Linked DNA regions of Drosophila melanogaster. The protein of the gene in region 2 purifies or fractionates together with the protein of the main gene of each other region. This does not show direct contact. Each region holds a gene or a part of one and is shown on either strand. Other genes may lie near its edges. The genes, in order: Nnk and CG10395.

Evidence for each region.
Region 1: the proteins of CG10395 (region 2) and Nnk purify together in Drosophila melanogaster (affinity purification with mass spectrometry, with the first as the bait; one large-scale study listed by BioGRID). This does not show direct contact.

What each region holds. Positions count from the first base shown.
Region 1 is NT_033777.3:17,802,464-17,807,004, forward strand, and holds Nnk (nicknack), read right to left. Parts: upstream 2,787-4,541; 5' UTR 2,706-2,786; coding exon 2,592-2,705; intron 2,534-2,591; coding exon 1,578-2,533; intron 1,516-1,577; coding exon 1,393-1,515; intron 1,194-1,392; coding exon 1,067-1,193; 3' UTR 762-1,066; downstream 1-761. Other genes in the region: CG17806 (uncharacterized protein), read right to left, coding at 1-542, 593-703; CG17801 (uncharacterized protein), read right to left, coding at 3,274-3,385, 3,446-3,559, 3,630-4,426, 4,484-4,541.
Region 2 is NT_033778.4:5,348,706-5,352,755, forward strand, and holds CG10395 (uncharacterized protein), read left to right. Parts: upstream 1-1,771; 5' UTR 1,772-2,103; coding exon 2,104-2,116; intron 2,117-2,174; coding exon 2,175-3,007; 3' UTR 3,008-3,015; downstream 3,016-4,050. Other genes in the region: IFT20 (intraflagellar transport 20), read right to left, coding at 3,016-3,411.

The DNA.
Region 1 (4,541 bases), on a different chromosome or scaffold from region 2:
GGACACTCCTCTAAGCACCCTTTGCTCCTCGGTTTTCTTCGGTTTTTCTGTACTTCCCCGATGACTTGTAGTGTTCTGGGCTCTTCCTTCATGACTTGGGGCATTTCGGATGCTGGCTCTTCGTGATTCATGGACTCCACTGGATAATCAGATGAAAGCTGAGGCTCGCTCTTCACCTGAATAGGATCCTCGCACCGGAGAGGATCGACGAGATCGGCAGGCGGTATTTCCGGGACAACTAAAGGGTAAATTGGGGTTTCTACTGTCTTAAGAGGCACTCCATCCACTTTCTTGCTGCGTTGTGGTAGAATCCTTCTCCTTTGCGGCTGTGCAATACTAATGGGCATAACATCCACCCTACTTTCTAACCTGTTATTCCCGCCTTCCCTTGCAGTCTCAGTGTCCGAATCCTCTTGTTTGCCCTGCTTTTCGAACCAAGACGAATTGGTCCTGATGCAGCGCTCCCGGAATGCGATGGCATCGTTCAGATCCAGCAAGCAGGATAAGCAGATCCTCGTTGGCACACCTGGCTGGTTCCTCAACTGGAATCGAAGAGGGAATGACTCCGTGGTTACCGGGAATAGTCACCTACCCAAAAGCCCGTCAGCTTGAGGATGTTGCTCAGGACATCTCTGGCCTCCTTATCGAAAAGTGACTTGGCGTGCTCCGCCTCCTGGCCACAGGTGCGGCACAGCGTGGTCATCCTTTTTGCAGTTTCAACTCAATTGTTTAGTTTCCGCCAAGTAAACAAAGTTGGACTTCTGTTTACAGAATAATCTAGTTTATCATTGTTTTGTGTGAATGGCACATTTTAAAGTGAACTACAAGGAATTAGTTCTTCCGATTTGAACTGTGGATTTGTTGTAATAAACGTTAAATATTTAAGAGGATGAAAGATCCACTTTCAAAACTGATCGATACACCCAAATCACAGTCAGATATCTTATGATATTTCATCTTATTAACTTCTTAGAAATACTTTTATACTAAATTATTATAATTTTAACAGATAAGAACATTAGACCTCTAAACGGATGACAACACTTAACAACAAAACATTTGTACCTTATTTATTTTTGGAATCAATTTCGGACTTAGCACTCATTGCGATCAGCTTATTTTGATGCTGCCTGGAGCGGTAGTGGGTCTTCAAGTTCGAGTTCCGTGTAAAGGACACTTTGCAGACCTCACAGCTAAGGGGAAAGTAGATAAAAACAAAGTTAAACATTTGAAAAAGTAACTTTTCAAGCAGGAAATAGTTAACTTGATTGCTGGATGTAGTGGATATTAGGAAGTAAAGAGTTACAAAGTGGGAATAATAAGATGATTGATACTTAAAGGAATATGTTAGGAGAAAGAAAAATCTAGCCATATATCTTCACAAGATCTTACTGGAAGTTACGCTCGCCGGTGTGGACCACCTCGTGCTTGGCCCTCTGGTAGTTCGACTCGTATCGCTTGTCGCAATAGTTGCACTTGAAGTTCTTTGGTGTTTTCTTGTTCCGGTGTACCCGGCTGAAAGAATGGCAGTGTTCGTAGGTGCAATTTAGGGGATTTAAGGTATGCTATAGACTCACTTTTCGTGGCGCGATCGCATAGTACTGTGCACAAAACGCTCGTCGCAGAACTGGCAAGCGTATGGCTTCTCTCCGCGGTGCTTCACCCGAATGTGAATGTTCAGGATGTACCTGTTGAACTCCTTTTGTCCGCACTCAGGACACTCGAAGGGCTTGACGCCCGAGTGGCGCAGCACGTGCAGATTAAAGTTGCCCTTGTCGGTGAATTTCTTGCCGCAATGGTCACAGATGTGGACCTTTTGGCTTATGTATGTTTTTCGTTTTTTCTTCGCAGGTTTGAGAAAGTCGGTGTCGTCGTTTTTGGGAGATGATCTCTTGGTGTATTTTCGACGAGGCTTCTTATCTTCGTCAAGGGCCGATTGACGCGATGTGGCTTCTATATCTGACATAGAATCAGCATCTGTATCGCTGTCGCCGTCCTCGTTCTGCCAAAGCTCGTCGTCGTCTTCCTGTGACTCCTCTTCGTCCTCCTCATTTTGCTGACTTTCCTCCTCATCTGGCTGTGACTCCTCACATTCCTGTGACTCCTCGCCATCATCATGTCCTGTCTTTTTATCCACCATATCCTCATACTCCTGCTGTTGCTCTTGCTCATCATCCTCCTTACTGAAGGGTATTTCGCAGGCAATATCTTCAAATTCCTTGTTCTCATTAACCTCGCTTTCTTCCTCCTCCTTCTTGTACAGGTCGTGGTCTTCCTCCAGTCCTTCATTATCCGCATAGGACACCTCGTACAACACCTCCTGCTCCACTTCCGCATCGTTGATCTTCAGCCCCTCGTGCGCATCGCTCAGCGGATCAGCCCAGCATCCGTCATCCTTGGCTTCCACACTTCGGCGCTGGATTGTCAGTCGATTGTTGGTCTTGATGCAGGCTTGCCGGAAGGCAATGGCGCTCTTCAGGCTCAGCAGGCAGCAGGAGCACATATTCCGGGGCATCTTCGAGTGGTCGGTGAGCTTGAAAACCAAACGAGCATTAGCGGTTTAAATTTGCCAATTTAATTTACACACTCACCCAAAGGCCCGTGACCAATGCGATTTGCCTGACCATTTTGCTGTTCTCATCGAATATGTTAACTGGATTTTGCGTGTATATTAAATCTCCACACAACCGGCATTGTGGCGTCATTTTTAAGAGTTATTTTTCGAGCCAAAATTCCTTGCTTTATTAACAGCTGCTGCTTCATTTTGGGCCATTCGCAGCGAACTGTTGTTGTTGTCCGCGTCTCTGGGTGACTGCCAAGCGGTGGCGCCAAAATTTGAAAATGGCGCCTTTTATTCAAGGGTCGTTATGGAATATACTCCAAGCATTTGCTTTTCGTGGCAAATAGGAATTACCAAATATATTTACCACTTCAAAAAAAGAATTAAAAATATATATTATACATAAGTTTTCTGTTTTTAAATGAAAACGATTAATTAAATAGTAAGGTATTTAACATTTCGAAATGAATGGCTGTCCAAATATTACACTCTTAAAGAAACTACTTCATAATAGGAAAAGCAAATGACAAAAATGTAATACAAAAAAGTTATAGCAAACGAAGGGCAATCCAGTGCCAAAACAGTGAGAATACGTTCAAACATTTATGTCTAATAGATATCCTGAGCCTCAGAATTATCCAAGTCGTGCTTTCATCTACATATCCCGCATCTTATAAGACGGAATTAAAAACGATCTCTAATTCTTTGGCGAATCAATGCTCTTCGGATTCCAGGATGGCGCTGGCTCTTTTCTGGTGAGCAACCGAATCGAAGTGACTCCTTAGCGTTGCCTTTCGGGCAAAGTTGATTTGGCAAATAACGCAGCTGAGAGGGAAATACACGACTTGTATTAAATATGCGCAAATTTCATATCATTTCACTTACTCAAAGGGCTTAAGACCTGAGTGCAGGAACTTGTGCTTATTCAAGCAGGTCTTGGTATTGAATCTCTTGGTGCACTGGTCGCATTGGTACCTCAGATCTCTGATGTGCCGTATTCTGTCATAGTGTTAGGAAATTGTTTATGTCAGCGCTTTTAAAGTTAAATACAATTGCAGTAAGGACTTACCGCTCATGGCTCGACTTAGCTGTACTTGTGAAAAACGTTGCCGAGCAGAAGTTGCACTCAAACGGCTGTTCGCCCATGTGGCGCACTCGTTCGTGTAGACGAGCCAGATACTTGGTGACGAACCGCTTGTCGCAGAACGTGCATGGAAAGTTCTTCTCACCCGTGTGGCGCACCATATGCGTCTTTAGGTTGTATGGAGTCTTAAAGACCCTTCCGCACTTAGGGCACACCAGGGATTGCATTTTCCGAGCTGTCCTTTTTGCAGGGGGTACATTCTCAGCTGCCACATCTTCTGGAGCTAATGCAAGGGGCTTTACTACCTTAATAGAGGGATACGTTGTAAGTAGTCTCAGATCGGTTCCAATTTGTATAAAGTTTCCCTTTTTTGGGCTTTTTGCATCGACTTTGTTAGGCAAGTTTTCATTTGCAAATGAAGGAGTCTCAATTAATGGATTTTTATGCTTAAATATTAAGGGGGTTTCCGAATCATAAGGATTATGTGGTTCGTTTCTCCTATCCTCATGGGCGAGATTTAAATCAATATCGGATTCCTCTGCTTTTTTGTCAAATGGATAGTTTTCTGAATCATATGATTCCTCCGATTCCAAGTCACTGGAATCCCCTTCTGGCTCTATATCGGATACAGTGCTTTCTAGATCCTCATCAAGCCCAGATTCCCGCCTCAGCGTTGCTTCATTGTGAACTCGTTGAATGCGCTTCTTTAACTTAATCGATGTGTTCAAGTCATTTAAACAAGATGGGCAAATATGACGCGGCTGGCGTTCATTCTGTTCTAACTGTAAATGGAGTAAATGGGTTATGCCATTCACGCACACAAGAAACCATCAACATACCCATATTCCAGTGAGATCCTTGATCTTGGCCAGAACTTCCAGGCAAAAAATTATCGTG
Region 2 (4,050 bases):
CAACCACAAAGAGAAAATAAAATAAAACCAACAACAATACCGCCAACCCGGGCTCAAGCTCTTAACCAACAATCATGACAGACCCACCAAACATTTACAAAATTACTTCAAAAACATACCATCGCAATTAGGTGAACCTAAATTTATAATTATCAAAAGGAAAGACAACAACTCTTTCGAAAGAATTTCACCATTCATCATAAAGAAATCGGTGGACTTTGCCTGTGGAGGAGAAGTCGAGGGATGCAAACGAACAAGAGACGGCAACCTAAGACCGTCTATAATATTTTAAATCGTGCGGAAAAAGAGGGCAGGCTTGAACCTAAGAGTGGTAATGGGCGGAAAACCAAAATTAACAAGCGAGTAGACTGCCTTAAAAGTGATTGCGAACCCCCGAATCTCGGTCAGATCACTTGCTCAGGATATCAGGGAAGAATATCACCTAACTGTGTCACACGAAACTGTGCACCACGTTATCCTACTACCATAGGTACTCTTCAAGAGTTGCAAGAAAAATGCCTTTGCTATCAGAGGTCAATATTGAAAAGCGTCATTCAGCATGATAGATCATGCGGAAGAGTACTGGGATGACGTCATATTTTGTGACGAAACAAATATGATGCTCTTTTATAACGACGGGCCAAGCAGAGTATGGCGCAAACCGTTGAGTGCGCTAGAAAAACAAAATATCATACCAACAATCAAATTTGGAAAATTGTCAGTGATTATTTGGGGCTGTATTTCCAGCCATGGAGTGGGCAAATTAGCCTTTATTGAAAGCACTATGAATGCCGTGCAATATCTAGATATTTTAGAAACAAATTTGAAGGCCAGTGCAGAAAAATGTGGTCTATTTAGCAACAACAAGCCAAATTTTAAGTTTTATCACGACAATGATCCCAAACATAAAGAGTACAATGTACGCAACTGGCTACTTTATAACTGTGGCAAGGTGATCGATACGCCCCCTCAGAGTCCTGATCTGAACCCCATTGAAAATTTGTGGACCTACTTAAAGAAGAAGGTGGCAAAAAGGTGCCCCAAAACACGGCAACATCTCATTGCTGCGATAGTCGAAGAGTGGGAAAAGATCCCGCTTGAATATGACCTAAAAAAACTCATCCATTCCATGAAAAAAAGGCTTCAACTTGTAGCCAAAGCCAATGGGGGTCATACTAAATACTAAAAATTTTCAAATATTAACAAAATAATTAAAAAATTTATGATTAAACTTAGGTTTAGTGTTTTGTGTAAATAGTTTCTTTACACTCTCAAAAGTGTGTAAACTTGAAATTTGTTGTTTATTTTCTTGTATATTTGATATTTTGAATTTGTTTTTTAATTTATAAGTAAAATAAATATTGTTTAATTATATTTCATAAAAAAATTGCGTTTAATTAAACAAATAACCCTTAATTTTGACCTTTAAAGTTAAAAATTCAACTTATTTCACGGTGTGTAAACAGTTTCTTGACAAACAGTATATATATAGTATAGTATAGTATATATATATATAAAGTTTAGTAAAATAATCGAACATATCGATTGTAATGACACTAACATAAAAAACATTAAACATTACCCGACCAAAAATTCAAATAATTTGTAATTTTATTAAACTTTATCCATTATTCATTTATCAACTTATGCGCTTTTCATGCAGAATTTGAATTCGCGTGCATAAGTGCACATAGATTGGAGTCTCGACATCAGGAACGATATTTAGTTACTATTCAGTTTCATCGGTTATCGGTTCAACACAACCGCTAACCATGGTTTTGCTATGTATTCTGTGAATTGCTTAAATGCATTTAGGAAGGGGAATACAAAAATATATTGTGCACAATTCAAATTTTTTTTAGTATTATTATTATAATTATTATTATTATAATTATAATCATTATAAGTTTAAAATCATTATACTATGTGGCCAGAGAGATTGCACGATTTTCCCAGCCGTTTAATAAGGATGTCATTTGTGGAATTAGGCTATAAGCATCGTAGTGGATGTATGACCAATGCAATTTTTGGACATTTGAAAAAATTAAGCATAACAAACAAAAATATTGGCCGCTGCTACAGGACGAGTGTATTTCAATTGAAATGGTGAAAGAAGGTAATTTATATCAATCACCAAACGTTACATCTTAAAAAGTAACATTTTTTATTCATAGGTTCTAAGGATGCAGAGTACTTATCTGCTGAGTCTATTTCAAATTCGTTGAGACCTAAAGAACTTCATTACACTACAGATGCGCTTGCATCTAATTCAAATATTCATGAACATCCTCTTAGACGCACGAGAAATATTAGCACAAAAAAATTGGCACATGATGACAGTTTGCCTCACACGGGTGCTAAAAAAGGTAAAAGACGACGCAACAGTGATACGTCCAGTGAAGAGGATCGGTGGCTTACCGCCATAGAAACCGGGAAACTAGACGTTGTTGATGAGGAACTTAAAAAGATAAAGGACCCCAAACTTATGACAGCACGTCAACGTGCTATTTATGAACGGACACAGGACTCCGAAATAAATGGATTTATAGAAGAGCTAATTGCTCTTCCAAGTGGTTATAAAGAAAAGGAAAAGCCGCAGACTGCGGAGGAAATTCATAAAGCTCTTCTGAAATCTCAAAAACGAAAACAACAAGCTGACGAACGCAGAGAAAAAGATAAATTAAAGACAATGGAGCGGTTGTTAAAAAAACAGGCAACCAACAGGGATCGGATTTCAATTCGCAATAAGTCTTTACAACAGCCCTCTTATCCAAAAATAACCTATATAAGTGCTGTAACTGGCAACTATGTAATAGTTCCCCCAGGTTACGAATATCCTTTAAAAGTTCAACTCCCTCGTACACCTCCTCCTTCACAGGTGTGCTTTGTAAGCGGTTGTGAAAATCGCAAGACATATAATTGTTCAACAACAAATGTTCCATTATGTAGTCTTACATGTTATCGTAAGAATATCAACAAAATAAGAAAAACGTCTACAAATACGTAGATTTAATTTTAATATTGATTGACAAAAAAATTGTTTATTATTTCATGTTGCTCCGTTTCAATTCGCTGTAAAAACTGCAATTCGCCTTTTAAGCGTTCAAGTTCTACTGTTTGCTCAAATATCTCATATTGATAGACTTGCTGCTTGTTCTGGCGCTGAATAAATGCCGTTTTTAATTGATTTTGAGTACCAATAGCGCGTAGTTTTTCCTTATCGACATCTTTGGCAAACGTTTCAGAAATATTACAATAATTAAACACAAACTTTTTAAAAATAGTGAATGCTTTAATGTAGTTGAAGCATTCTTGTTTAAACATTATTTTGCTACTGGAAAGGTTTGGATGCTCAACTCGCACCGTGTAAATTTCATCTATAAACACACCAACTTTTTGAAGTTCTTCCATCTTATTGCGATTGTAACAAAGTAATACTTTCTTACTATGCGTTGCGTTGCTATTGACAACTGAACGAGTCGTAAACAAATAAGAGCTACGCGTTTGTATATAAATGCATTGAGGCTTTAGTATTTTTCTTTTGGAAATTATATTAGCTTTCAGTATTTGAATTATTTGAAATGCAAATAATAACCCTTTTTTAATAACCCGTTACTCGTAGAGTATAAGGGCATACTAGATTCGTTAAAAAGTAACAGGCAGTGGGGGGGAGCGTTTCTGACCATATAAAGTATTTATATTCTTGATCAGGATCAATAGCCGAGTCGATCTGGCCATGTCCGTCTGTCCGTATGAACGTCAAGATTCAGGAACTATAAAATTATATTTTACATTAATTTTTTTATAATTATTAATTAATTAATTTTTTACATTATTATTAGTCTTGTAAATTTCTATCGTTTTGCAAAAATAAATTGGTTGCCACGTCCACTCTAACGCCCTAAAAGCGCCTAAAGCTGCCACTCCCACTTTTTTTTAAAAATTTTGGATATTTTGTCATAATTTTATTAGTCTTGTAATTTATATATATTTGCCAAAAAACTTTTTTAAAAGGCCCACTCTAATGCCCTAAAACATCCCAAAACCGCC